Notamacropus eugenii: one gene and its partners. The protein of the gene in region 4 interacts with the protein of the main gene of each other region in a pairwise test. Links are inferred from orthologs where the notes say so. Each region holds a gene or a part of one and is shown on either strand. Other genes may lie near its edges. The genes, in order: PDLIM1, NXF1, ZC2HC1C and GFAP.

Region 1 (7,952 bases), on a different chromosome or scaffold from region 4:
CACTCCCATACCACATGTGATAAGGAACATCTATTAACATGCTTTGTGATGGTGCTATAATTAGGGAAGACACCTGATCTAACTCTCTATTTAAAAGATGTTTTGTGTGTCACTTATAAATCACTCAACTAGGAAAAGGGTGGCAGGTACAAACATGAGAACCAGGAATAGAAAATTATGTAAGTGGTATTTAAATACATAGAGATAATTCATTCACTCAACAAGCATTTCAACCACCATATATTTACTGACCACTTTCTATAGGCTCCACAGTATGTGAACTTCACTCTGTGGAAATTACAGCTATGACATAGAACAATCTCTAAGGTGGTAGGCTCTAGATGTGGAAGGGTACACACATATACTGCCAGATGAAGTCGATGTGTGGGTTGGTTTTGCTGAACTTTTTTCTTTGTTAATCTTTGTTCTAAGAGATGGCTTGCTGGGAAGGAGAAGAGGGAAGGATATGTTTGTAAATGAAGATCATGGAAAAACAAAAGAGAGCAATAAAAAAAATTAGACAGTCTGTCATTGGGGATCTTATACTGTGGCCAGGGAGTCAATATCATCTTTTACCTAAAGTAGTTATTAAGTGCTTACTGGATACTAATGGAGATACAGATTAAATAGATCACTCCTGCCACATACTCTAGTAAGAAATAAAACATAGAAAAATAACTATAAATAATAATTGTATACCAACATAAAACTAGAGAATCAACCAACAACCACTTCACTGCTTACTCTCACCACTTACATGCAAGACACTGTGTGAGGCTCTGGGGTTACAAACAAAAAAGTCTACCCAAAGGAGTTTATGTTTTGCTGGAGAATACAGCATATTCTTTTCTGAAATGTGATATTTCATTGTACTGACTTTATTGAATGTTACAAAAATTCACGAAGTATGAAAAATCACAGGCCTAAGACCTGGAGGGACCTGAAAGATTTTACAGATGAGGAAACTGAGGCCCAGAGACTGGGAGTGATTGGCCATTGTTCACACAAGTAAGTGACAGGGTCAGGATTTGGCACCAGATCTTCTAAATCCAAATTACGGGCTGTTCAAATGTGATGTTGAATAGATTGGAAAGAGGTGTTGTGGGGAAGTAAGTGGGTCCAAATTGGGCCTGGAAAGAAATGTAGGATTTGTACTGGTGGGGAGAAGGCACTGCTGTTATATGCATTCACCTTCCACTTAGTATTCGTCCCTCCCCCACCTCAGACATCCCATTGCATGCCAGGAAAATCGCTGGGCATTTATGACTGCCATCTGTGACAACTGATGCCAGCTGCTTGTTATATGCCTCCTCCCTCACAGAGCCCCTGTCTAAGGGGCATTCATTTGAGCTTTTTCGGGCCAGAGATCTGTAAAGTGTTACTGGGGGTTCAAAAATATTTGGAGTTGGAACAGTTGTAGTTCCAGGCTAAAGAGGCATCTCCCAGATGAAATCAGTAAGCACAGTGAAAACCCTCACCCTCAATCACTATGGAAATGAGGGTGCGGTAGGGAGTATTGGCAAAAAGTCAACAGATGGGCTGGAAGATCATGGAGTGAATGACTTAAAGTTAAAAGGGGCCGCCGACGTCATCCACTCCTCCCCTATTTTACAGATGAGGAAACTGAGGACCCAGAAATTAAGTAACTTGCTCAAGGATGTAATAGCAAAGGACGATGCATAGGATTTAGAGTTAGAAGTATCCTAGGCGTTCACCTAGTCCAACACCCCCCACCCCTACATCTTCGTTATACAGAGGAGGGAAGTGAGGCCGGAGGGGATGGTATTAAGTGACTTGCTCAGAGGTACCCAAGTGGTAATCATCAGTGGTGGCATTTTAACTCAGGACTTCTGATTCCAGAGCCAGTGGTGGTCTTTCCACTGGAACTCAAAGTCTCCAGCTTGAAAGTAGAAGATAAACTAGTTTTTGCCACTTTGGGTAAGACGACTTACCCTTTTGGGAAACTGAGGCGATGACTGGAGCAGAAAGGATCAAAGCCAGTGACATGTAAATGAATATACAAAACAACAATAATTAGTGGGGGCGGGTGGGGGGAGTGGAGAGAAATCCCACATTCTGTTATCCAGGATTCAATGTCAGGTGTGCCTGGGCCATTCAGTCAACTCACTAGCAAAGTGGGGAAGGAAATTAACGTTCCGCTCCGGGGACCGAGGAACAACACCCCCACCCCACCCCAGGCTGGAGCTCGGAAAATAGTTGTGATTGATGGACTGAACAGATAAGACAGTCGCGCACCCGGGGCCCGAGGCATTCCGTTTCAGGGGACGTAGTCTTGACCCCCACCCAACCCCCCCTCCCCCGAGGATGTAAACCTCAACTCGTCCCAACCCGTCCCTACCCGAGATGGGCGACAGTAATCGAAGGGAAAGTAGAAGCGCGCACCAGCGCACCTCCTCACCCCACGCGCGCTCGCCCGCTGCCCCAGGTCGGATCGCTACAGCCGCACCTGGACTGCAGGAACGTGTGATTGCCCTACACAGTGGTGAGCCGGGAGCGCCGGCGAGAGGGGCGAGAGGGAGGGTGCCCCAGACAGTCCCCGGCCCCTGGGACCGGACCTTGTACTGCTCCCGGAGCCCCAGCCTGCCGGGAAGGTGGCCGTGCCAGCCCGTCTCTCCATTCCAGGTCCCCTCCACTCAGCCCCAACACAGTTCTCCACCCCGGTGCCTTCGCGCGGCCCCAGAGTAGGCACCGCAGCGCGGTCGGGACCTTACCCGGGAAATGGCGAGGGGCTGCTCGAAGTCCTTTCCTCCCACGAGGCGGAAACCCCAGGGCCCCGGCCCCTGGATGACAATCTTCTCTGTGTTCATGTTTCCCAGCCCAAGTGAAGTGGCCGACGGAGAAGGGACTCGGCTTGCCCTTGGAGCTCTCGGGGAGCCGACAGGAGGAGTGAACAAGAGGGCAGCGCAGCGCAGCGCAGCACCCGGGTCAGCTTTGCCGGAGCCCGAGCCAGAGCTGGGGCTGGGGCCACCGCAGCTGCGGCTCCGCCCAGCCCTGCCTGGTCTGCTCCCGCCCCTGTCCCCGCCCTCGCCTTTGCCCTCGCCCTAGCCCAGACTCAGTGCCCCCGCTCTTCTTGGCCCTAACCCGGTCCTGGCTGTCAGGGTCAAGCCGGGGCACCTCGACGGTGGGACATATACAGGCGAGGAAGGAGAGCTTTCCAGGACTGGGGTCACTTTGGCGCGCACATGGTAGAGATGCAGGAGGATCCCATCAGCTCTTGCGGTCCCCTCCCAGTCCCGCATCCCCCCTTCACCCAGGCCAGGGAGCCCCAGGCTCTAAGCAGGAGGTTCGGGCAGGCTGAGGCCCGCATCTCTGCCTGGTCCGCAAGGTGAGGAAGGGTGGAGAGAGGAAGGGTGGGGTTGCACCGGTATTTGGTTTTTAACCCTTAAAGAGCTGTGTAGCTATCTTTCCTGAGCTCAATCCCACATTCACTTCTATTAAGCACGTAATAGTTGATTTTTTCGGATCCCAAAGACAGTCTAACTAGACTTCAAATTTTCTTCCGTTCAGGACAACTCAATTTAGCCACTCTGACTGACATGAACAGTTCACAAGTCTGGAGGAAGGCGCTTCGGCTGAGGATGGAGGTGTAACTCCATGAACCGAAAAATGAAATAAAAGATAACCTTGGGAAGAACACTGGATCGGACTTTGTTTGTACCTCTGATTTTCTGGATGACTGAGCAAGACACCATCTTTCCAGACTTCAATAAAGGAACGAAGAGAAAGATGAGCAGCGGGTTGTAGTGAGTTAGTAGGAAGATGGGCTTCCAGTCAAGATAGGCTGGATTCAAATCCATCCTGTCGGTGAGACCAGGAACAAGTCACTTAACTTTTCAGTGCCTAGGGCAACTCTCTAAATAAAATGATTAAAAAGGAATGCAGATCTACCTTGGGAAAGGGAGTTTTCTCATCTGGCATGGACTAAATTAATCAAATTGTGGGTCATCAGTTACAAAATAAATAAAATTGAGATGATTAGGCCACAAGACAGGTTTCTTCTAGGTCTAAAACAATCACTTCCAATGGTTCCTTCCGGTTTTTGAGATGAGGGCAGTGGTCTTGTTTTATGTTTGTGTATCACCCACAGTGCTTAGCAGTCTTCGGCTGGTAGCTGATAGTAAATACAGCCTTAGTGCCCCAGCCACAGTCTTTGTACAGGCATCGTTTACAAAAATCTGCCACTTGGCTCCCTCCCACTTATTTTCACTTATGCCCCATTTTATCTGCCTTAGATATGCTGCTGACACTGAAGTCTCAGTCATTATCTGACATCTGGATCTATGGGAGCTAGGTGCTGGAGAAGCTTAAGAGGAAGGGTCAAATCTGGTAAGAGGTGACCTAGAAGAGCTACTACTCAAAACTGGTGTGAGATAGGCCAGATTCAATCCCTGGCAATGTCACAAAATCAAAAACCAATTTAGAACCCAGGCCTCAGCTCCTAGCTATCATTGTCCCTGTAAACCCCAGAGTTAATGTGGTAACACTCATCTTGAAATTCTCAGTTCTGAAGGGTATCTGACTTCATCTTCTCCACCCCTCCCCCTCTGTATCCCCAGAGGAGCTGTGAAAGCAGAAGCAACAAGCCTCTCAGTCCTAAAGCAGAGTTGATAGATGGGGGGTCCTGGGACAAAAGAAGAGGGAGGCATCTTACACAGTTTGCACTCTGGGATAATCACTCTGTTTACTCTGCTTTCTAAGTGTACCATCGGACCTGCTTCTCTCTTTATGGAAAATGAGCTAAATAAATATGAGCAAACCGGTATCAGTGGCACCCAAGGCAGGACCTACACTTCCTGTCTCCTTTGGTCCCTCTCTCTTTTTTAATTGTCCATTCCCTCCTGACCTCCTTTACCTTTACTATTTTTCCCCTGTGTGCTGACCTCCCCCTCCTCTCCCCAGCAGAGCCACAGACCCCAACTCAGGGCCTAAAGGCCCTTTGTAAGAAGCCTCAGTTTCTCACAGCAGTGAGTAAAAGACAGACAAGGGAAGCTCATTAGGCACCAAGCCACAAACTCTATTCTCCCTAATCCCTCCCTTCTCCAACTTCCTGTTCCAGCCCCTGTTAAAACCAGAAGTGGCATCTCTGGATTGGATCCCTCTGTGGTCCCCGGCAACTCACAGAACATGCTCAGCCACAGGTTTCAATGGGGAAAATTTAGCTCAGGATCAATTACCCTTTATTTCTAGAAATTCTGAGTGCACGATCAAGCCACATAAATAACAGAAAACTGCAAAGAGTACTGAAAAAATATAGCACTTAAGAGAGAGAGCATGATGTGGTGGAAAGAGTACTGAAGTTGTCTGTAGAAGACCCGAGTTCCAATTGTACTTACCACCTGCGAGACCATGGGCATGTCACCTCTGGTCTCTGGGACTCAGCTTCCTCAAATGGAAAATGAAGGTGCTAGATTAGATATGCTTTTCAAAGTCTCTTGAAGATCCGACTCTATGATACTGGACAAGATGCTGGGTGAGAGGGGGGCAATTATGATGATGACTAAATGTTGTCTACTTCTATCTTAGCTTTCCCTCAAAGTCAACTCTGCCATGTCTGGGTCCCAAGATAACATAAGCAAGTGGCCTGGGAAAATAAGAGCCCTAATCAAGGTTTTCCAGTGAGTCGTGGTTTAACCAAGGGCGAAGGAGGAAGGGGGAAGAACTGAATAGAGCTCCAGGGGGAGGAGATCATTGAATGGGTCTTATTACTTGAGAGATTGCTAGCCACATGCTGAATAGAGTAGATTGTAAGTAGAGCATCTTGGAGATACAAATCAGATGAAATTGAACATTTCCTCTAATGCCTATTTCCTTTACCCAACAATTCCCAACCCAGCATTCTTCATCTGACTCTTTCAGCCATATTTATTTGCCCATCAGCTCAGGTTGCTTCTCCTAGGATGCTATTCTATCAAGGATTTATGGCAAGGGTGGGGAACCTGCAGCCTCAAGGTCACATGTGTCCCTCTAGGTCCTCAAGTGCAGCCCTTTGATGAAATTCAAACTTCACAATGATTTGTTTTAGATTCATTCAAAGGGCTGCACTTGAGGACCCAGAGGGTCACATGTGGCCTTGAGACTGCAGGTTCCCTACCCCTGGTTTATGGCCTGCATCTGAATTGTGGGCCCCTGTGGCTTTCTAGTTATCTACCTCCAAACAATTCAGTGACAGTAGACATTTTGCTGTTTCTCAAAGAGAACACTCTATTTCCCATGTCTGTTGTGGACGGCATCTGGGAAGCATAGTGGATAGAGTGCTAGACATGGAGTCAGGAAGACAGTACTTCAAATCCTGCCTCAGGCATATAGTGGCCATGTGACAGTAGGTAAGTCACTATCCTTTGAGCCTCAGTTTCCTCATCTGTAAAAGGGGGGCAATATTAGTATCTAATCATGAGAATCAATTGAGTTAATATAGGCAGCTAGGTGATGGGTGGATAGAACATTGGATCTGCAGTCAGAAAGACAAATTGAAATCCAGCCATAGACACTACTAGCTGTGTGACCCTGGGTAAGTCATTTAACCTCTATCTATCTCACTCTCCTCATCTGTAAAAAAGGAATATTAAGAGCACCTCCCTCTCAATATTGCTGTGAGGATCAGATGAGATAAGATTTACAAAGTGCTTTGCAAACTTTAAAGCACCATGTAAAGGCTAGCTGTTATTATTAAATGTACTTTGCAAACTTTAGAATGATTTATCAATGCTAGCTGTTTATTAGCATTGTTATTATTACATACACGAATGAGAGACAGCATGTGTAATAGAAGGAATGGTAGGCTCAGTCAGGAGAGACCTGGGTGTGAATTCTGACTCAGACACTGGTCACTGAGCACCCTCTCTGTGGGTCTCAGCTTCCTCCTCTATAAAACAAGGCTCTTAAGACAACCAGTACCTAACACATAGAATTGTTGTGAAGATCAAATGAGATAATATGCTATAGAAATGTCAGTTATTAATGTTATTATTAATTGTCTAAACCTGTGATTTCATCCACATAGGGAGGAAATTCTTTTTACCAAAGCAGATTGGCAACTATACTATAATTCATAGACATAGGGAGTTGCTCGAGGCAACTGATTTGCCCAGGGTCACACAGTATGTCAGAAGTAGGACTTAAATCCCAGGTCAGTGCTAACTCCAAGTCTACTATGCCTCTAAGATCCAGTATTTTATAGGAATGGATTAGCATTTCTCAATTTGGTTGTTCTCAGAATCCCTTCACATTTCCAAAAATTATTGTAGATCCCAAAGAGTTTTTGACTCTATGGGCTGTCGATATTGATATTTACTCCATTTGGAATTAAAATGGATAATTTAAAAATATTTATTTATTAAATTAATTGATTAGTGATTAATAAAGTATTTGAAGATAATAATTAAAACTTTTACATGTCCACATAAATTTTTTTATGACAAAAATGATTTTCCCAAACAAAAAATAATAGTGAGAGGAGTAGCATTATTTTATATATTTTTGCAAGTTCTTTGAATGTCTGGCTTAATAGAAGACAGCGGGATTCTCTTATACAGTTTTGCTTTTAAGCTTCAATATGTTGTTTTGACTGAAGTATATGGAAGAACTTTGGCCTCACACAGATATGCAGTAGGAAATGGGAGGAATATTTTAAAAGGCAAATGACATCTTAGTATTATTATGAAAAAAAGTTTTGACTTTAAGGATCTCCTAAAAGGGTCTCAGGTACCTCAGGTATCCATACAGAACCACTGGTATACTTAGTCCCTGGGACATAGATCACAAGCTTCTCACTCTGCTCCAGGCTATGATAGATTTGCTTAGGCCAAAAACTTGCCTCACATGATGGCCAATCTTGTGATGATGGACTTCTTGTAAGTATATTAGCTCATTCCTAGCCGTTGAGAACCCTGGGTAACCTCCATACTTTTACATGGAAGTAGATTGCAGTAGGA
Region 2 (7,007 bases), about 330 Mb from region 4:
AGAGCAGGAGAACGTGGTTTTCAAAATTTAATCTGGAGTCACAAGGATGGTTCAAGGCAAGGTGGAAAAAGCTGTCTCCTTCAGTCTAGTCCTCACCAGGCACTTCCTCTAGGCTACTGTGGGAGGGTCCCCTCAGGTTTATTTCCACCTGCCGGACACCTTAACATTCCCTCTATTTCCATTTTCTCCTCAGCCCTGGTGGACCTCACAGAGCATGATTTTGGGGGGGGAGAATGAGTCTCCTGCTGTCTTGCCCACTCACAGGCCTCAGGCCTCCTGGGCTACCCTTCCAGGGTCTGCCACACTGGGGTGCGCCATATCAGAATCTCTACAGGGGCATACCTCTGTGAATGGGGCCCTGCTGCCTCACACAGAATTTTTCAAGTTCCCTTCCCTAGTAACTTCTCATCTGCCCCCTAAGTGCGGCTTTTCTCCAAAGGGCTGATCCCATGGATTCCCAAGGCTTCAGTTTTATTTTTATGTAGATGATTCCCAAAACCTGACTTCCACCCCAAGCACTTCTCCCAATTCCACATTTTTAAAAATGAAATCTTCATGTTCCCCTAAGATTCTGCCTCTCTAGCTTTAAGAAGCCAGGCACACAAGCACTCTCTGTTGGCAGACCCATGAATTAGCTCAACCACTCTGGAAAGCATTTGAAATTATGCTAAAAAAGTGCTATTCTTTGCACTTCAAAGAGGTCAGAGACAGAAAGGCTCTATATTTCAAATATTCATAGCAGCCCCTGTGAGCGCTGGAGGCAAGAGAGGATCCATGGAGGGCCAGCCAAACAAACTACAGGGAGGAAGGGAAAAGAATATGACAGCACTGTAAGAAACAATGAATATAAAGGTGGAGAAAGTCTGACCAGTGCACCAGGAATCATATACACAATGACAAGCACCCACAACCCTGCACCCTGTGTAATCACAAGGACCTTCTGAAGAGGTGAGAAAGCATGCCCCACTGAACAAGTGGGGGGGGGGGGCGGTCACAGGGGCTAGACTCTGCCAGACAGAAGTGGCAGACCTGGCTGGGAAGAACTGCTTTTTGTATTCTTTGTTAGGAGGGATGGCTCTATGTGAAGGAGAGGGGGGGAATTACTTGATGAAAAAACAAGTGTCCATAAATATAACAAAAATGGGTCTCTCACACAAGTGTTTGTTTACGGTATGACTTCTCTTAGGTACTTAACATTTTAATTCCTCTTAGAGTTATTCCTGTACATGTTTCATCTGCAGAGGTAGGCATAGATGGAGTTTTAGAGAAGATGACTCAAAGGCCCCAGGTCACTCAGATGCTGTCATTCCAGTCAGTGCCAGCTTGGAGGGAGGAGTGCCCTCGGTTCCCCCCCCGCCCCAGGTTCACACACCCACTCCCCTCCACGGCTTTCTTTCCATTCATTCAGCAGCCAGCTTCGCTTGGCCATCACTGCTAACCTCACCTCCTCACTGGCCTCTAGGTCTCCAGTCTCTCCTCTCTCTCATCATCCTCCCAAGGCCCTGAAACTCAAGGCTAACCAAGATGCCCCTGCCATGCTGGCATAGGCCCCTGTCACTAAGACTTTCAGGATCAAGGCAAACTCCTTTGCCCCGTATTAGACCTGAGACACTTCCTAGCATGTGACCCTGGGTAAGGCCCTTCCTGCTGCCTGCCTTAGTTTCCTCACCTCAAACTGGAGCCAACAGCAGCATGTGCCCACCAGGAAGAGTGGAAGTCAAAGATCAGCTCAGGACATAGCGCTAGCTCAAGCCTGGGGAACCTTCGGCCTGGAGGTCACATGTGGCCCTCTAGGTCCTCCAGTGCGGCTCTCTGACTGAACCCAAACTTCACAGAGCAAATCCCCCCAATAAAAGAACTGTTCAGAAGGCCGCACCCAAGGACGCCGAAGGCCCCAAGTGGCCTCAAGAATGTTAATTATCTAGGTGGCTGTTCACAACTGGCCCAGCTTACAGCAGGCTTCTCCCTCCCTGCTGCCCCGTGGTCCTGCGCTGGCTGCCACACCTGCCCACCCCTGGAAGGCCCAACTCGCCGGCCCCCTCCCTCAGCCCCTCCACCGCAGTGACTCCCCGGAGCCCGCCCTGATGCCACCAGCCAAGCCCCGTGCGGGCACAGATGCCCATGCCTGAGCAGACCCTCTGGAGGACCCCCTGCGCCCCGAGTTCCAACGGCACCCAGCCCGCGTGCCCGCCCCCTCCCGTCCCTGGGCGGGCAGGGAGGGGCCCTTTGTCACTCGGGCTGGCCCCTGGAGGTGGGCAGGTCTCACGCAGCCCCGGCCAGGCGCGCCCACAAACGCTAAGGGACCCCTCGCAACAACTTCCCTTCGGGGGCCACAGGAAGGGCGTGTCCGGGGCCCCTGAGGGGGCCGGACCACAGAAAACACGGCCTCGACCCCAGGCGTGGCCGCCCTCCCGGTGGCGCCGGCTTCTGGGAGTTTGGCACGTGGGGGAAACTGAGTCACCGAGGTCTGACTACGCGGCTGGCAGGGCCACGGCCTGGGGGGACCCGCAGACGCCCCCCTCCTGGTATAAACGAAGGGGTCCCGCGCCAGGGCCGCCCCTCCCCCAGCCCGGACCCACCCGGGAGGAGGCACTCAGCGGGGGGGAGGGGGGAAGGAGGGGGCCTCGAGACCTACGGTTACTGCGGCCCGGCCCCGAGCCCGCCGCGCGCGCCCCCGCCCCGCCGGGCGCGCCCCCGCCGCCTCAGGGGCGCCATTCGCGGCTCGAGGCGCGCCCCCGCCGCCCGCACCCAGCGCTCCACCGACCCGGCGGGCCCAGGGCCTCGGCCTCGTCCCCGTCTCCCCCAGGCCTGGCCCCTTCCCACGGCCCGCGGCCGCCGCCTGCGGCCCGGGCCCTGGCACTCACCGATGTACGATTTGCCGTCGTCCGCCATGACGAGCCGGGGAACGCCGGACACCGGCTCTGACAAACGACGAAGCCCCTCGGCGCTCCGCACAGCGCCTGCGCCTCAGAGCGAGCCACCGCACCCCCTTCCCCTCCCCCCCGACGCGCCTGCGCACGCCCCCGCCCCAGCCGGCCTCCACGCGCCGCGAGGCTGGCGCTGAGCCGCGAGGCGGAGCCGGACGCAACAATGGAGCTGGGGCACGCCACGCCTGCGCACACGGCCGCGCGGCCAGCGAACGAGATGCCTCTGCGCCTGCGCGTCCCGCTGGGACAGGCTGGGCTGGCGCGGCCTCCGGCCCCTCCTCCCAGGCCCCTCCTCCCAGGCCCCGCCCCCCAGGCCCCGCCCCGCCCCCGACTTCCCCGGCGCCTAGTCCCAAGCTCGCGGGTTAGGGCTGCGGGGCCCCCGAGGCAGCGGAGGCCTCTCGATCCCTTCCCCGTCAGTCCCCATGCACCTAGTAAGCGCCTACTGCGTGCCCAGTAGCCGCCCAGCGGCGGGATTACAAAGGCAGGAGTGACATTGGGCCAGCAGTCAGGGAACTTGGCCGGAGGCAGCGGGGCGCTCTGGGCCCCGGGTCCGGAAGCCCGGGGGTGACTCCGGGCACGTGCCATCCCCGCGGCGTGCCCCAGTCAGCGATGATCACGTGGGCACCTGCGGGCGTTCCTGTATGTTGTGACCGGGGCCACGCAGGACGGGGGACACGCGGGGGTCCCCGAGTCCGGAAGCGGGTGTGCCAGGTTGTCACCGTGAGGCAGGCGCTGGGGGGTGCAGCTGGGCAGACCTGGCGATCCAGGGGGCGGGGCTGGGGGCCAGCCCTGCCCCAGGACGCGCCTCCCGCGGCTCCGCAGCCCCCGCTGTACAGCCTCCGCTTGGGGTCTCCTCCAGGGTAGGAACGGTCTTTTTAGCTTAGCACATAGTAGGCATTTAATGTTTATTGACTTTAATGGGGCAGCCAGGAGGTGCAGTGGATAGAGCCCCGGTGCAGGAGTCGGGAGGACCGGAGTTCAAACCTCACCTCGGACGCTGGACGCTCGCTAGCTGTGTGACCTTGGCCAAGTCACTTAACCCCAACTGCCTCCTCCTGGGTCATCTCCGGTCATCCTGAGGAATATCTGGTCCCTGGATTCCCATGGCTCTGGAGGAGAAGTGAGGCTGGTGACTGGCACAGCCCTCCGTCACTCAGAACAAAGTCAAGTGCAAGTCATGTCACCATTTCTCTGATGGCATGGTCTTCTTTGGCAACAAAGGACGAACACACATTGAATTTAATGGAACTGGAAGGTCAATAGTGCACTCACCAGGATGTTTTTGTGCGGGGGGGGGGGGGGGGGAATTAGAGCTTATAAGTCATTTTGGACATTTGGAAATATTTAATAGGCAGCTGGCGATGTGCTATTGGAGCTCCTAAGAGAAACCCAGTCCTCGGATCTAGTAGACCTGCCTTAAGCTGACTGTGCAAAGAAATGTAGATCTCAGAGGTTGACAAGGTTACTTTTTGTACCCAGAGGAGGGCCCAAATGGAGCCTTGGGGGTCAGATATTGATAATGGTCCAGCCAAGGACACTTGACAAGGAGGGGTCAGGCAGGCAGACCAAAAGTCACCAACCTAGAGAGGAGGCGGATCCAGGAAAAGGGGCTAAAGTGGCAGTAAAGATGGGATAAGGATGGAGAAAAAGGTCTCTGGCAATTAGTTTTGTTTTTGTTTTTTGAGAAAGCATTTTCTGGGGATGAGGTTGGAAGCCTGATGGGAAAAGGGACAGGAGAGGAAAAGGGATGGAGCATGTGTGTAGGTGGCAAGGAGAGGGATGAGGGGGATGATCTGCTGGCCTTGGTGAGAAGGTCCACCTCTCCAAAAAGGGAATGAGGAAGGATGTCAAAGGGTCTGGTGACTTTGAGAAGGGGAGTGCTCAGGGTCATTTGTGATGTGGACCTGGTGTGGGAGGGCTCTGGTGGAGAGGGGACTGAGGGCCAATGAAAGGACAGCAGCTTCTCTGAAGAGATTCTGTCTTTTGGGTTGCTCCCCACCCACCCAGTAGCACCAGGAAAGGATGCTAGCAAGCAGAGGTTGGGTTTTCTGGGGAGGAGCAGGGCCCGAGAGCTGAGCAGCTTAAAGATGGGCTTTTGATTGGGAGCCAGAGGACAGGTAGCCCCGAAATTGCTGAAGTGGGGGAGAGATGGAATAGCACAGGGAGAACAACACAGAGGGGGTAGTCTGGCACAGGAAGAAAGCAAACCAACATTGTGCCCACTGTGTGCTGTACCAAGGACTTTAGGAACAGCCTATTATCCCCCATTTTAAGACCAAGGAAATCGAGGCAGACAGGTGGTCACATGTCTAGTAAGTATCTGAGGCCAGATTTGAACTGGGGTCTTCATGATTCTAGGCCTTTCCCTCTATCCCTGCCGACAAATTATAATCAGATAAAGGAATTTCAGAGTTCCTGATTAGGGAAGTGGGTCACTTGTTGGGGGTGGGGGTGGGGGGTGGCCAGATCGAAGTGGAGTAGTAGACTGAGGAACTGGGTGGCCAGGGTATTTGTGGGAACATCACCTAATCCAAGAGCAGGGGTTGGGAAGGAGGGGGAGAGGAGGGTCAGACCCTCAAAGTCTCCACAAAGGAGGGAGAATGGATGGAGCGGGGATGTGCACAGACAGCAACAAGAACTTGGCCCGAGTGACGGATTTGGATTCATTCAGCAGAACTCAGCTGAGAACTGGCTGAGGGGAAAGTGGCCAAGTAGAAATGGAATTGATCAGTGCTACAAAGATGGGAAGGGAAATGTATGTTTCAGCAAGATCTGGGGAAGAGCTGGAGAGGAAGAGATCTACATAAAATAAAGGGAGGAGAAATGAAGGAGCAGATTCCAGAGGGCACCACAGATGGGGCTGGGGAGGGGCCTGGGGCCAGCACATAATACATGTATGTTGATCGATCGATCAGTTAGAGATGAGAGAACAGGAAGGGTGGGTAGGGTTGGTTGGCCTGAGACAGCGGCCTACCCAGTATCACTGGACCTAGTAGGGTGAGTGGTAGTTGGGGTGGCTGGGAAGCCAAGAACCTCACCAGGTGATTGGACTTAGGGTCAAATGAGGAAATGTGCTGTGCAAACTTAAGCACTATAGAAATGTGTTTTTATTGACTTGCTAAGGTCACAGAGGTAGCACCCCGCCCCCACCCTGATCACAGTTCCTCCACCAGCCATCCTCCCCACAAAGGAGTCCCAGCCTTCCCAGGCTTTTCCCAGAGCTGGTTCTCTCTGCTAAGGCCCAAAGCCTTGGCTAGACCTGGATACTCTACAGGGCTCCTCCTTCAGAGCACAGGAACCTGTGTTAACAACGGTCTCACTAGGATCAAAGTCGTTGCCTCTCAGCAGGTGACCAGAGATCCAAAGCCTGTCTGGGCAGGGAGCATTTCCAATGAACTTCCTAATAAATCTGATTGTTTAGACAGACCAGACCAGGAGGCTCAGCAGGTTCTTGCTAACCCAGGATCTAGGTGGCAGACAGCAGACTGGCCACAGGGCATCTTCCAGGAGCAGAGGTTCCCTGAAGGCCAACCTGTTTCTTCTAGGCTGGTGTGCTTCATCCACAGCAGCAATCTGAGAAATGACTCCTACAGCTCCCAGACTGCGCAGCTGCCAAGGCTGCCAAGATGGATAATCCCTGGCAGTGGGCAGACTATGGATGGAAGATTCAGTCTCAAGACAGGGGTGGCCTTGGGAAGAGTATTCTTGGAATGCTGGTTGGGGCTGAGACTGCTGCTACAGGCCCACTGTCTGCCTTCCTGGCCTATGCTGCCCCCTCTTTGCAGGCTCCCTCACTGCCTGAGATGATGCCTGAGGGGACAGTGTGATCCCTAGAAGCCTCCCTGGACCTTGAGGGGAGGATCATGAGCCCCTGGCACCCTCTGCCTCCCACCCAAAAGCACAGGCAGCAGACAAGGAAGCCAAGATGACCGATTCCAAGTCTACTTGTAGCTATGAGCTCAGATTCTCCCATTTTCTCCCCTGGCTACTGCTGGAGCAGGGCCATAGCAGGATACACCAAGGGGCAAGGCGAGTCCTCAGTCTGTCAGAGGCAGCACCCCCAGTTTCCTGGGGTCACTA
Region 3 (7,709 bases), on a different chromosome or scaffold from region 4:
GTAATTTGCACTGGTAAAGTTAAATGTCCTGGCAATTTGGTATCTGCTTTAGATACAAGTTTAAAAATATGAATAACTTGGAATTAAGAATTGTCAGGGTTGTTTTTTTAACTCCTAAGAAACCAATACCAGTTTGTGATACAGGGTGGGAAATGACAGTGCTTCATGAAAAAGACCATGATTCTTACAAGATTCTAGCAGATCAGAACTGGAGAATGTGAGAAATGCACAAAGAAGTTCTACAAAGGTTAGGTTACTTAACTTCTCAGAAATACAAGATGGTAGTGTTACACTCCAGCTCTATTTCAAATTCCTTTTCCCTGCCTCCCACTTAAAATGCTTTTATAAGGTAAGAAAATAGTTCATATTTCTTTGATTACCCTTCCCAGTCCCCAACCATCCTTCACCCAAAATAAAATCCGTAAGCTTATAGGAGTTAACATTACTTACCTTGGCTAAAGTTGGGCCTTTCCAGGCCAGGTACTGTTCCAGTTCAGTGCCCTTAGCCCGGGCCTTGTATGAGTCAAACACTTTCCTCTTGGAACCCTGGATCTTGCTACAGACATTTGTATGTTTCTCTAGCCTTAGCAAGAGAAACTTTCGTCCACAGTAGCTGCACTCACCAAGCTCTGGTTCTTCAATTGAAGAGCTGGAACCTAAGGTGACTGATACCTGAGATGAACTATAATTGGGGGATTTGGGCAAAGAAATTCCAGGATCTTCTTGGTGCTGTGAAAATGACTCAGGGGATGATACTGAAATTTTATCTCGGATTTTATTATTACTTGCCCCTAGTCTTTCCTTTTTGAGTCTTTGTACTCCATGGTTGAAGAATTGGGAACATACTGAAGATGGACTAGAATTCTCTTGGCACTTTTCCCATGTTTCATCACCTCTGCTATGACTATTGAAGACCTCTTCAGGCCTGAATTCTGGCGAGAAGATGAGTTTGGAAATGCTGCTGCTGCTACCTGTGCCTCTTCTCCTTGGAAATGTCTTTCTCTGTAACTCCTTTTTTTCTTCTTCTTCTACCAGCTCCTTTTCTTTTTGGATCCTTCTAAGTTCTTCCTCAGTCTTCTTCAACTTTTCCCTTAGGAGAGTCTCTTTTCTTCGAATTTCTTCCTCTAAGCTCTCACTTGCTGCCTCTAGTTTTTGAATCTGCATTAGCTCAGTTCTGCCTGGATTTAACAAGAATTTTTTGGGCTGAACCACTGGTAGGGGAGCAAGTAGCATCTTAACTGAAGATGAACCCCCCCTGTTCCGTGAACTGAAGTGACTGGGTGTGACCTCTTCTGATTCAGAGGGTTTCTGGAAGAGGTTGTGGCAGTCAGTCTTAATGTGAGTAGCACTCAATGATTTTCGGTGAAACACTGGTTTGAGGGGATAGGCACGATCCACACCAGCTCTCTTTTTTGTGAAGGGCATTGTGTTTTCCTGGTTATCTGTTTTGGTATGTCTCATATGGACTCCAACTGAATAAAAATCCCCACTTCCTGGACCCTGCTGATTGTTTCTTGAATCCTGTTGGCTGCTTTCTACAGAATGAGAAGAGGGATAACTATGGGCTTTAGTAAAGGTGTTCTGCTGGTTATGAGTAAATATATTCTCCAGCTTCTCTTCTTTGTCTCTTAGAAGTTTTTGCTGGAAGTTGTTTTTCAGGTGCTCCAGCCGAGACTGATGGGTAGAGCTGCTCTGTTCAAAACGGGCTGGCCTACTTGAATGGAGTTCCGAAGTTTCCATTTTGTTAAAAGGAAGCATGATGTCCACATGTGGACAAGGAGCCAACTGGAGGCGAGCCATTCAGTGCCTGACCTGAAGCCTGAGAGAGAATCAAAATCAGATTCGTGTTAAAAATCTGATGCTGGGTCTGGGGTGTTGAAGCAGATTCTAAGTTTCCCTTGCTTTTCTCTACCACGTTACTAATGGTGCCAGGCCTGATACAGAGAAAGGATCCTGATAGCACGACTTCCCCCTTAAAATAGCTGCATCTCTCTCCAAAGCCCTTGGTGGGCAGGTTTAGGTATTCACCCAAATCGCCTCTGCTATTTAGTGCCCTAGTAAAGTCTCCTGTGGGGCATGTTACTGCTCCAGAACCTCATGTACTACTGTTTGACTAGTAACGGCTGCAACATGAAAAGAAAAGGGTTTTACAGCTAAGATCTGAATTATTTAAATTTCAAATTGTAATTTTAAGACTAATTAAAGCACTGGATTTGGGGGCAGGTTCGCAGGGCACCAGAAGTTTCCAACAGAGCCCATTTTTAATCTTCTGCCCTTTATGAGATGCCTGACCATGGACTCGCTCGGCCAGGCCTCATTTTCTAATCCTCTTGAAAATGGAAATAACCCTACAGCCGAGGGGCAGTTACGAAGACCCAGGGCTGTGCTGGGCAGTTTGGGCATCTTTACCATCCAGTTCCGTCCCTCTTATTTCACACAGAGGTGACCTGCCCGAGCGCGGACGCCACGGTCGGGGGTCCTTCCACGGTTCCAGTAATGCCAGGGCTAAGGGTGCGACAAGCGATCCCGGAGGGCAGTGCCCGCTCCCCGTCTGCCCGGGCTGCCATCTGGGCCTGATGCACAGGTGGCGCATGGAAGCCGGCGGGGAGGGCGGAGGCGGGACGAGATAACGTCCCGGGGGTCCGTCTACGCCGGCTCCCCCGCAGCCCCGCTCCGCAGCGCCAGCCAGGGGCTGAGGAGGCCCCCGCCCCGGTGCGGGAGCCGAGCCGGGCCGCGCTCCCCGCACACTGGGCAGCGGCAGCGTCCCCGGGGCCGGGCACCGGAGCCCTCGGGCCTGCCGGGCGCTCGGGCAGCGGGGCTCTCCTGGAGCTCTCTGCCCTCGTGGGGAGCGGGCCGGGTGGGCGAGCGGGGAGAGGAGTACCGCCATCCTTCCGGGAAGCCTGCCCCTCCAGGTACCTGAGGCTCCGCCGCGTCCGCTCCGGCTGCGGGAGACCGTGCCCAGGGCGCCAGCTTCCCGGCCCGACCCCGACCGCGGTCCCGGCGCAGGCGCTCTGGACCGCTCTGTTTTTCCGTTGCCTGGAAACAGCGCGAGCCGCGGCGGAGGTGGGGGGGGGGCGGTCCCGCCTCCTGCCCTAGACCCGAGCCCCGCGAGGCCGGGCGTTCTGTTCCGCACGTGCGCCGGCCTCCCCAAGGCTCCCTGGGAGAGGAGCGCGCGTAGGCCGGCCTCCCCAGGGCCTCACCTACAGGTGCCTTGGGAGGAGGAGAGTGTGGCCCGGAGCGGCCCGGACCGCGGGGATGGAAGAGCACCCGGGACGCGAGGCCTCGAGGGGGCCAAAGCGCGGGCCGCTTCGAAGGCCTGGCGGAGGAGAGCCCCTGCGTGTGCCCGCCTGGAGGGCCGGGCGTGCCGGCGGCCTCTTAGTGCGCTCAGCGGTCTCGTGCGTGCTGCGGGCATGCCTGCCTCAGTGTGCCCCTCTCGGGGCCCTTTGCCTGTCCATGACTGGCCGGGAGGCTTTAAAATTATTTTTTTCCGCATATTTTATGGCCAATCAGACACTAGCCCCTGGCGTTTTTGTGGCACTCCATCCCGGCCCAAGCGGCCCATCCCTTAGGGCCTACAAATGACCCAGCGAAGTGGAACGGTCCTGAGGACCGAAGGCCACCGACGGCTTCAGAATAATCCGTTAATACTTGCGCCAGCACTAAAAAAGCCTCCATAAAGGGTCGGCAGAAGGCCTTTTCGTGCCTCAGCTCGCTTTTGCAAACTGCTTTGGAAAACTCTGGCTTTTGTAGTCTTCACACAAAAACCTACGGACCTTAAAATCTCAAAATGTTGTTTTTATTGTAATGTCACTCACCAGTTTCAAAGGGAGCCTGGTTATGAGGCCCTGCTGTAGACTGAAAAAGGAATAACTCATTGGCTGTAATGGAAGTCAGCAGCTTCCTGAGGTACCCGAGCATATATGACAGTGGAGAGGAGACCTGGAACCAAGAGGATATGCTGTTTTAGTCCTTTGTGACCTCTTTTGAGGTTTTCTTGGCAAAGATACTGGAGTGGTTTGCCATTTCCTTCTCCAGTTCATTTTACAGATGAGAAAACTGAGGCAGACAGAGTTGAGTGACTTGCCTAGGGTAGTAAATAGCTGAGGCCAGTTTGCACTCAGGCCTTCCTGACTCCAGGCCCAGAACTCCATCTGCCACTTGACCACCCAGGGTTCGTAGCCGTGTGACTGTAGACAAGTTAGTTTTACCTCTGCCTCAGTTTCCTTAATTGTAAAATGAGAATAACAGCACCTACCTCACAGGTTTGTTGTGAGGAATTGATAACATTTGTAAATCTCCGGTCAGCAAGGAGCCTATATTTTTGGGGGGATGTTCTAACTAGAAGGAACCTTAAAAGTTATCTAAGCCTAGAGCTGTCAAACATTACTCCAGGCCCCATGTGTCTATTACATTACTTAGTGCAGCTTGCACCAGATTAAAATGTAATTGGGAGATATTGAACTAAATAAAAATACAATAAAACAGTGATAATATTACATTTTAAAACTAAGTCAATATGAGGCTTACAAGGACCTTTATATTTCATGGCCCTCATTTCTATTTGAATTTGATACTATTGATCTAACCCACATTTTACAAATGAGGAATCTGAATCCCAGAGAAGTTAAGTGATTTATTCACAGTCACGTACAGGTGGTAGGAGATGGCAGAGGCAGCATTTTAATCCAAATACTCTCCAAATCCAGTGTTCTTCTGAGGGCAACACACGGCTCTCTCTGACCTTGCCACTTAATAGCTGTTGGGCTTGAGCAAATCACTTAAAACTTAGTGTGAGCTGCCTTATTTTCCACACGGGGATAACTACTACCCCACCAGGTCGTGATAAAAATGCTTCAGAATATTAGTCAATGGACATAAAGTTCGGTATGCAGAGCTATAAACTCCTTTTAAGTGTCAACTAAAAGAATGTTTTTGACCAATACTTGAAGGATGGTTCATCCTGCCAGGATTAATACTGATACTGCATATTTTTCACTTGGTTTCATTCTGTAAGCAAGATTTTAGTATCTAAGTATAACCACCTCTCCTGCCTTCCATTCTCCCTGTTTTCCTTTCCCCAAATGAGTCCTTAAAATTTGGTATATGGGATACATGGAGAGAGAGAGTCTGAGATGACTGGCTCAAACATAACTCTGGAGTCCAGGGTTGCTTGTTCTTGTCTATTTGGCTGGCCCTATTGAGTTAAGAGCATAGTAAGGAAAACCAACAGTAATTCATAGCTGACAGCTTCCAGGGGGACGCCAAGGCTGGAAGCATCTTCTCTGCCCATCCAGTCCCACCACAAATTCACCCCTAGTTTCAGTGGTGAAGGAGGATAGGATCAGGGGTGGTCACGTGAGGCTCTCGGCTCTTTCGCATCCCTCGCAGGTGGGCGGGCTCCTGGGCGGGCCGGCCGGCCCTCATTGGCTGAGCGGGGCCACGGGCCTCTCTAGCCGGGAGCGGGGGGAGGAGGAAGGGGAGGACCACAACTCGATGCTCTCCAGGTGCGGGCAGTTGTGACCTGGAACTGACGGTTGGGTGAGGTCCTCCGCTGGCCGCCCTGCGACGTGCTGCTGGGCGAAAGCCGAGCAGGGCCAGCCGCCCTCGGGGGGGTAGGCATGAGGTGTTAGTGGAGAAGGGACGAGGCTGAGGGTGAGCAGCGGAGGGGGGGGGCTGAGGGGGAGCAGCGGGGGGGGGGGAGGCTGAGGGGGAGCAGCGGGGGGGGGAGGCTGAGGGGGAGCAGCGGGGGGGGCGGCTGAGGGGGAGCAGCAGCGGGGGGGGAGGCTGAGGGGGAGCAGCGGGGGGTGGGGTTTGAGGGGGAGCAGCGGGGGGGGAGGCTGAGGGGGAGCAGCGGCGGGGGGGGCTGAGGGGGAGCAGCGGGGGGGGGAGGCTGAGGGGGAGCAGCGGGGGGGGGAGGCTGAGGGGGAGCAGCAGCGGGGGGGGCTGAGGGGGAGCAGCGGGGGGTGGAGTTTGAGGGGGAGCAGCGGGGGGGGGGCCCCCCCAGAGATGCCCCGCTCCCGCCCGGGCTGGCTCGCCAGCGGGGGGCTCCGGGGACTGGGGAGGTGGGAGGGGGCGTCCTTCCTGCCGGGAGGGGGAGGTAGCCTGGATGGCACCTTTGGTGGATGCCCGCCCTTGGGCCCCTAGCCACCAGCACGGCGAGGCTCGAGGGTTTCTGCCAAGTGGAGCGCCTGCACAGCTAGAGGGGGAGGAGGGAGGAATCGTGCCGGGAGGGCCTGCAGATCTTGGGCGTGTGTCTTCGTGTGCATCATATGTATTGTGTAGTGTGCCAGTGTGTATAGGGGGCACTTAGGTTACCCGGTGAAGAGAGCCCTGGGTATGGAGCCAGGATTCGGCCTCAGACGCTTACTGGCTGTGTGACTCTGTTTGCCTCAGTTTCCCCATCTGTAAAGCGAGCTGGACGAGGAAATGGCAAACCAGTCCAGTATCTTTGCCAAGAAAACCTTTTATCATGGGATCGCATAGTGTCAGACACTGCTGAGCATCAGTCTGTGTACACGCACACCCTGTACATTGTTCATGCATGTATATATACACATGTACATTGTATGTGCACATACATGTGTATACACATAAGCATGCATGGTATATGTGCATATGTCTATGCACACGTCTGTATATAGGTACACATAATTCATGTGTGCATATAGTCTGGTATAGCAGGTACATATAGATAGATCAACTGTGTGCTTATATACACATAATGTGCAAACATACATGTGTGTATACATATATACATGCATGCATTGTATGCCTATGCATTGTGAATGTGTGCACACATGCAATACACATATGTGTACATGTGTATATGATGTGTAAAGCAAATGTGTATTACATGTATATATAGCGGACATAAACATGTATATATGTATACATGTATATAATTATATACGTATATATACATAAGTGTGTTTGTGTCCTTCGCTTGATTCCAGTTGAAACATTTATTGTCAGTCACCTGCATTCAGAGCAGACTAAGATAAGATTTCTACTTCTATAGAGTTTACCATCTTAATAACAGGTTCCTTTAGGACATTTTTTGTTTTCTTTTTCTTCCTTTTTATTTTTAAATTTTTTTTGGTGAGGCAGTCAAGGTGAAGTGATTTGCCCAGAGTCATGCATCTGGTAAGTGTCCAGTGTCTGAGGCAGGGATTTGAATTCAGGTCCTCCTGACTAGAGGACTGGTGCTCCATCCACTCTGCCACCAGCTGCCTCTCTTTTTAAAAAAGTCTTCCTAAGGACCTACAAGAGTACATTAGGGACTCAATAAATGTTTTTTATTTGTTTTTTAAACGAATGAACGGATAAAATGACAAAAACCCAGGATGTCCAGAGTTGGACTTGTTTTTGTACTTCTTTTGCTCTGCTTGGTCACCAGCAGGTCTTACCATGGCTGAAGGACACACCCTGTTGTCAGTGGATTATGAAGTCTTTGGGAAAGTCCAAGGTGTATTTTTCCGAAAGTACACACAAGTAAGTGTTCCACACTGGATTTGGAAGATGCTAAATAATGTTTCAACAAAATGAATGTTTTTGTGGATACACATGAACTGTCCATGTTGGAGATGAGACTATAAAGAACTGGTTATTAAAACAGTAGGGCATAGGTTTGGGTGTGAGCTGTATTTTATCCTTTTTGTGCCTTTTGTTTTAATCTATTTCCTTTTTTATTACTTGTGATGTCTGGTTAT
Region 4 (7,466 bases):
AGGGAATACAAGGAGAAGGGAAATCCTGGAACATTCTGGTTTTCTCACTTCTTCATGAATCTTCCTGAGAAAGCGAATCTCTTCCTGCAGAGACTCAACCTTCCGTTCCAGATCCAGGCGGGCCAGAGCAGCTTCATCAGCCTCCTGCAGCAGGGAGAGGAGGACTAGCTCTGACCTCAGGATATCATCCCCTTCCCCAATGCCCCCCTCCCCCCCATATACACACATTCACTCTCCTTATCCCTCAGCTCTGACCCAGCTTCCATTCTCCAGGGATAAGGGAATAGTACAGAGAATGAGTAGGACAGAGATAAAAGACAGGACTGGAGACAAGCCAGGCACAAGGAAAGAAGGCAGAGCTGAAGGATGATGGATTAGGGAGAGACAAAGGCAGACATAGGGAATGGGGCAAAGACAAGAGACAGGGAGAGGCTGAGTTTAGGGGATGCTGCCACCTTTTTGCCTGGTTCCCTCCAGCCCCTCCAAGTCCCCTGACCTGTCTATAAGCTGTTAGATTGTTCTCTGCCTCCAGTCGAAGGTTGGTTTCATCCTGGAGCCTGCAAGGAAGGGGATAGGCACTTAGGATGTGCCAGGTGCTTTTTACAAATATGATCTCATTTGATCCTCACAAAAAACATTGTGAAGTGGGTGCTATTGTTATCATCCTTATTTTTACAGTACAGGTAATTGAGGCAAATAGAGGTTCAATGACTTGCCCAGGGTCACATAACTAGGAAGAGCCTGAGGTTGGATTTGACCTGAGGTCTTCCTGACTCCAGGCCCAGCACTCTACCCACTATGTTACATAGTGACCTTAAATTGTCCATGAGATATTTGAAGGCTACAGAGAGAAGGGTCCCAACAATCCTCTGGAGTAAAGGGGAAGTTAAGGGGAGGACAAAACTTTTGCCCTTCCGACAAACTAAAAGGGCCCTGAGCTATCACCTGGTTCCCATTCCCTTGTTTGAAAATGAAAGAATGGAGATCCAGAGTTGGGGGAGTGACCTGCCTAGAGTCTTGCAACTAGTTAATAGATTATATACATGCATTATTCCACTAACCCATCTATATCTCTCTACACAATGATATGCACACATATAAAACACTCCCTCCCCTCCTCTTTGCTTCTGGCCCCCTCCAATAGCCCAGAAGTTTCTCCATGGGGTTTCTTTCTATTGCCCATTCAACTCTGGGCACCACAGGCTATCCGAGAACATGCCTATTAAGAGCATGTGAGCAGATTGTCCACATGGCCCCAGAATGAGGAATTCATCTCTAAATCTGGATGTCAGCCTGGCCCTACAGTGCTGCTCAGACTCCTGCCTAGAATCTCAGGGCATTTTTAGACTGACTCCTCCCAATGTATTCTCTGGATTTTTCAGCTTCTGTTTTCCAATCCATATCCAGGTAGTCCCTGCTGATGCTTGTGTCTCCCCTTCATGCTTAGAACAAGGCTTTGCCCACAGGGGATAGTTGATCTGTAGCATGAATAAATTGATTAATTGAATAACTAAAGGGCCGCCAGATTCTTAGAGGTGGCCATGAAGAATAATGTAAACAGTGGTCTCACACCCATTCTGGCAGCCCACTCTATCCTCACTCTTTAACCCCTTCCTTTCCTTCCTCCCCAGCCCTGTTTAAGACTCCCCCTCATCTCCGGGATGCCTTCCTTAATTCTTCCTACCTGTCTTCCTGACTTCCTTCCATTCCCCGTGAATTCCCTGAGCACCGATGCTCACAGCTCTACCCAAGAGCCCATCCTTGTTTCTATTTTGGATGGGTCTCTTATGTACCTGGTCAGATTAGAGGGATGTGTGTGTGTGTGCACGCGTATCTCTCCTTGGGTTCAGCACAGGACTCTGCTCACAAGGATGAAACAGTTCACAGTCTGTGTGAGATGAGCAGACTAATGAACTGAGTGACTAATAGACCCCCCCAAACCAGAGTCTGAAGCACAAGAACCACAGTTTCATAAACATCCAGGATCTAACTTTGTCTTTCCCTCTGACACTCGCATCCCTTTCTCCCTCCTTGATTTCTACACAGTTCTGAGTCCCAGAGAGGTCAAGCAAGATGCCCAGAGTAACCTAGTAAAGCAAAAGCTGTCAGAGTCCAGGCACCCTGCCATTTGTCCCATACTTCTCCTCCAGAATGAGCTACTGCTCCAAGAATCAGACACATTTTCCCAGGAGAAAACTGAGAACGAGAATCTTTTGTGGCTTTTGGATTTGACCTTGAGGTCTCCTCTCCCTACCTTTTCTAGCTTCATCTCTTCTTTTTATTTTCAGTCTCATCACAGACCCAAGAAGTAGGAACTATTCTTATTAAGTTGGGGAAAACAAGACTGTAACATCCTAGATTTAGATTGAGAAGGGACCCCAGAGATCACCCAATGCAACCTCTTCGTTTTGCCCATGAGGAAATTGAAGTCTAGAGAGATTCTGAATTGCCCCAGGTTACCACTGGATAACCTTGCTCCAGAGGGGGCGACCAGCCTATTCAAGTCACACTGCACCCTTTCCTCTCCCTTTCTCCTTAGGACAACCACCTACTCACTTCTGTCTCAAGGTGGCCAGATCTTCAGACAGGTTATCCCTCTCGATCTCTAACCGGGCACTGCTTGCAGTCAGCTGATCCAGCTGAAACCGGAGTCTATGCAGCTCAGCCTGGTAGACATCGGCCAGCTTGGTAGGTTCTTTGCCCCGAAGCTGGTTGAGCTCCCCTGCCAGAACCTTGTTCTGTTGCTCCAGAAAACGGACCTTCTCGATGTAACTGGCAAAGCGATCATTGAGTTCCATCATCTCGGCCCGTTCACTGGACCGTGTTTCTTTGAAGCTGGCATTGAGTGCCTCAGTTACTGAGAAGTCAACTCTAGTGGGAACCGGAGGTGGCATTCTGCTCGGGGAGAGCCGGACAACTGGAGCCAGGCGGCGGGAACCTGGGAAGCGTACCACAACCTCAGAGGCATAGGATCGGCGGGCAGAGGAGGTGATGCGCCGCCTGTCCATCTTGGCCCTGGTTCTGGCTGGATCAGGCAGCCCCAAGGGGGCTTTATAGAAAGGCACACCCAGCTCCACTACCCTGAGCTGTTGGTTCTTGGCACTGCCCATGTTTACTTTGGCACCATTCCTTGGAAAGGGATGAGGCACTGACCGAAGGCCCCCCTGGGGGGGGGGAGCCCTCTTCTCTCCTCTCCCTAGTTCCCATCTCATTATTCTACCGAAGGGAGGGAGAGAGAGAGAAAGGTCTCCCTGTATTCTTGCTGGCCTTTGTATTCTCCAGGGAATTGGAATAAATTATTCTACTGTGATACACCTCATAGGCCTTCCCACTCCAAACATAGGGCTTCTCAAGGGCGTTCATTTTTCTGAAAATTCCCATTCTCCAAGATTCTCTTTCTACCCCTGTTTCCCTCTATACCAAGAGTTTTAGACCTGGAGCTTAGCCAGGACCTATCAGTCTGGAAACCTGGCTCCTAAAATCTCAAAACAGGAATGGACCGTCAAGATCTTTTAATGCAATTCTCTCATTTTGGTGAAGAGGAAACTGAGGTCCAGAGAGGTCCTTAGTTATGTCTAAGTTTATTCAAGTAGTTAGTGACAAAAATGGGGCTAGAACTCAGGCCCTCTTGACTTCTATTCTGCCATCTTTTCCATTGGTCTTCATAGAAGAGAGGAATGACTTTGGGGGATGGGGTGGTGGAGGTGGGGGAGATTAGTCAAGGATGAGCCAGAGGAAGGCATAGGACGTCTCTGGCCTTCCCAACCATGCCACCCTGCCCTGGTTCATAACCCTCCTCTGACTGGGCGCCTTACCAGAGCCCAGGACTGGACAGCTCCACAAAGCCATTACAGATGACCAGGGAGGCTGTGTGGTGCTGAGCTGTCTCCCAGGGAGAGTTCCCAGGGTCCCGTCCTCAATACTCCATCCTCTCCCTTCCCCCACCAATATCTCACTGAAGATTTATATCCCCTGAGTTCCCACACATTAGATCCTCTAGGTTCCCTGGCAGAGGAGCTAGGTACTGGTACTCTGGGAAATAAGAAAATGGGGAGGAGCAAAACTTTGGGAACAATAAGTTAACCTTTGAGGTAAACTTTGGACTGAGAGTTCTGGTGCCTGGGATCCCTGGTTCCTATCCTGTCTTCAGACCTTAGTGTTCTCGCTTCGATAACATAGAGTTCAAGCTCCAGTCCCAGATTCCCTGGGCTTCTGTGAGATAGGCATCCCTCACCCCCACCCCCAACTATTCTCAGGCTGCTGATTTCTACTTGCCTGGGCATTTGCTGAAAGGATTATTGTTCTGAGAGGTTTGGGAGGAGAAAAATGTCAACCCCCCAGGAGGTGAAGCTGCTTTTATCCCAAGGATGCAAGATTGCCAAACAAGGGTGCTGCCCAAGCTCTCAGCTCAATGGGCTTCTCGGAAAGAAGTGGAGTCAGGCTGATGAGCAATAGGCAGTGGGCTCTGTGCCCACCCTGGAGCCATTGTGTCTGTGCCAAGGTGAGTCATGCAGTGGGCAGAAGAAGCTGGGTAAGGGGAGTAGAGACGGGAAGGGGGGAAGAGGAAAACCCAAAGCTAAAAGAGAAATCATCTTCAGAGAGAGGCCCCAGCTCCAGTTTACAGCTACTGCTCCCTCCCCAACTTTTTCCACAAAGCCAACTTGACTCTCCTCATCACAGTTTCTCTGAGAAACTCAGTGGAACCTTGAGTCTGAATTACAAAGCATTGTCTCCAACTGGAGCTTATTCCACAGCTGGCCAATCAGTGGCACCAGCGTGGGCTGGGGTCAGATCTGGGTATTACCTCTGAGCCCCCATAAGGAGGGGGAGCAAGATGAAGTCTGTAGTTCCAGAGCCCACACTACCCAAAGGCGTTTAGGTCTGGAGCACTTGGAGAACCCTGGAGGCAGGGCCCAGGAAAGGCTTGGACTCCCCCACAGGTAGGAAAAGGGCTGGCTGTAAGGTATTAGGGAATGGACAAGATTGAGGGACTGGACTTTTTCATCTTCATTTTTTAGAGAAACGGAGGACATTTCCAGTGGGATTCAGCAAGTTTGTGTACTCTTCCCCCCAGCACCCTGCCATTTACATTCAAGAGAAAGTAACACTCCAGTGAACTTTAAAGATGCTATCAAACCCAATCAAAAGTGTTTATTAAGTGCCTACTACATACAGTGCCAGGCACTGTGCTAAGCACTGGGGTTACAAAGTATGGCAGAAGACAATCCCTGCCCTCAAGTAACTCACATTCTAATAGGGAAGACAATATGTAAATATGTACAAACTATATTGAGAGAGAGATGGATAGATAGATATAGATAGATAGATAGATAGATAGATAGATAGATGATAGATGGGTAGATGTATGGGTGTAGAAAGAGAGAGAGAGAGAGAGAGAGAGAGAGAGAGAGAGAGAGAGAGAGAGAGAGAGAGAGAGAGAGAGAAAGAGAGAGAGGGAGGGAGGGAGAGAGAGAAAGATGATAAATTAGAGGAAAGGCACTAGCATTAAGGGGATCTGAGAAAGTCTTCTTGGAGAAGCAGGATTCTAGCTGATTTTAAGGAATCCAGGAAAGTCAAGAGGTGGACATCACAACCCAGAAGACATTCAGTGAAAATTCAGAGTTGGGCAATGGAATGTCATATTTGAGAAACAGCAAGGAAGCCATTGGAGGGGAATAATAAATCACAAAAACAAGCTAGGTAGCCCTTCTTTGCTTTTGTAATGATCATGAGGGACTAGTGACATATAAGAGCCTTGAGAAATCTCATCTGCTACTTGCTGTCTTTCTGAATCAATGCCCATCTGCCAGTGACTTGCCCTATCACCATACCCAGGGGATAGCTATGAGAGCAGCCCCACTCTTGATTCCTTGCCTCATCCTCATCACTCACCCTCCCTGAAGCCCTGCTCTGGTTCCTGCCTCCAACCCTATACCCCATTACCACCCTCTACATAGACAGTCACAAAAACAGACAGACTTGATTCTGAGATACACTCCACAGGACAGATGCACCCCAAACTACAGCCAGAGGCCCTCAGCTTCATCTGACCACTCTCCTTCTGCCTAGGTCCCTTTCCAACTTGGGTCTTTTCCTGATAATATTCTCCCTTCGTGTACCCACTCCCTCTATAGTTCAGAACTCCAACCTCACGAACATAGGATCATGGAGGAAGGCACAGGGCAGCTGAGAACTCAGTCAACTAGCAAAGATCTGGACCCTTGGTTATATTTTTTAAATGATTTATTTTTAGTTTTCAACATCTACTTCCAAAAGATTTTGAGTTCTAAATTTTCTCCCCCTCCCTGTGACAGCATGCAATCTGATATAGGCTCTACATCTTATATTCACATCTATAGATTTTCACATTAGTCATGTTGTGAAGAAGAATTAGAACCAATGGGAGGAACAAACAAAAAAAAAGAGCAAATAGTAGACTTCGATCTACATTCAGACTCCATAGTTCTTTTTCTAGATGTGGATAGTGTTTTCTATCATGAGCCTTTTTGGAGTTGTCTTAGATCCTTGGTTACATTTTTTTTAAAGAATGTTAGAACTGGAAGGCACCTTAAGAGATCACCTAGCTCAGGCATGCACTTAATAAATGCTTGTTGATTTATTGACTTATCTTGTTCAACCCTCTCATTAAAAAAAAAACAAAAAACAAAAAACAACTGAAGCTTAGGGATATTGTCATAGCACATTGGAAAGATCCCAGACTCTGGAGTCGAGGGACCTACATTCAGATCCTGACTATGAAACATTAGTTGTGTGACTGTGGATGAGACACAACCTTCCTGTGTCAAAGTTCCCTCTTCTGTAAAATGAGGGGGTTGAACTAGATGGTTCCTGAGGGTTCTCTCAGTTCTAGACCTATGATCCAAGTGAAGAGACAAAGAACTCAACAGAGCTTGACTGACTAAGACTAAAAAGGGTCCAGAGATCCAGGTTGGGAGGAGAGTGAGTAGGGAAGTGCAGAAGTTGTTGGCCTGGCCCCTTTGGAGGCTGACCCTAGGGTCAATGTCCTGGCCAAACACTGAGTGAGAATGAAGTGTCTAGCTGGCAGCTAGATGGCAGTGCCCAACTGCCCAGGCCAGAGTAGAAAGAATATCCTTAAACAAAACCTATTACATCCTTTATAGTAACTCCTCAGCTTTTTATTCCAATGGGAATTAGTCCTTTGCTGCATCACCAAATGTAGCTCCACCTGATGTCTTCCTGTTTTCAAAAATCCAGTCTACTCTCAGAGGAGAGGAATTTGCCACCACCGAGCATACTGGAAAAAAATTGTACTTGGAGTCAGGAAAACCCAGGTTCAAGTTCTTTCTCTGACACATGACCGTGTGACTCTAAGCAAGTCACTTAACTTCTCAGTGACCTAGGCAATGAAGACTTGAGGTTGCAAATATTGATTGGTAGAAGAGGTTTTGGCAAGAATTCCCCATACCTATGAAATCAGAGATCTG

What was found.
Region 1: the proteins of GFAP (region 4) and PDLIM1 interact in binary tests that used the Homo sapiens proteins (3 or more experiments, as listed by UniProt). The link is inferred for Notamacropus eugenii from reciprocal best matches to the Homo sapiens genes GFAP and PDLIM1.
Region 2: the proteins of GFAP (region 4) and NXF1 interact in a two-hybrid assay, tested with the Homo sapiens proteins (3 studies listed by BioGRID and IntAct). The two-hybrid records come from large-scale screens. The link is inferred for Notamacropus eugenii from reciprocal best matches to the Homo sapiens genes GFAP and NXF1.
Region 3: the proteins of GFAP (region 4) and ZC2HC1C interact in binary tests that used the Homo sapiens proteins (3 or more experiments, as listed by UniProt). The link is inferred for Notamacropus eugenii from reciprocal best matches to the Homo sapiens genes GFAP and ZC2HC1C.

What each region holds. Positions count from the first base shown.
Region 1 is NC_092872.1:211,875,091-211,883,042, forward strand, and holds the start of PDLIM1 (PDZ and LIM domain protein 1), read right to left. Parts: upstream 3,004-7,952; 5' UTR 2,829-3,003; coding exon 2,733-2,828; intron 1,977-2,732; coding exon 1,953-1,976; intron 1-1,952. UniProt on the Homo sapiens protein: Cytoskeletal protein that may act as an adapter that brings other proteins (like kinases) to the cytoskeleton. Involved in assembly, disassembly and directioning of stress fibers in fibroblasts.
Region 2 is NC_092873.1:15,879,518-15,886,524, forward strand, and holds the start of NXF1 (nuclear RNA export factor 1), read right to left. Parts: upstream 3,014-7,007; 5' UTR 2,893-3,013; coding exon 2,865-2,892; intron 1-2,864.
Region 3 is NC_092878.1:57,916,143-57,923,851, reverse strand, and holds the start of ZC2HC1C (zinc finger C2HC domain-containing protein 1C), read right to left. Parts: upstream 3,006-7,709; 5' UTR 2,917-3,005; intron 1,820-2,916; 5' UTR 1,801-1,819; coding exon 451-1,800; intron 1-450. Other genes in the region: ACYP1 (acylphosphatase-1), read left to right, coding at 7,408-7,491.
Region 4 is NC_092873.1:348,995,211-349,002,676, reverse strand, and holds the start of GFAP (glial fibrillary acidic protein), read right to left. Parts: upstream 3,019-7,466; 5' UTR 3,009-3,018; coding exon 2,557-3,008; intron 558-2,556; coding exon 497-557; intron 145-496; coding exon 49-144; intron 1-48.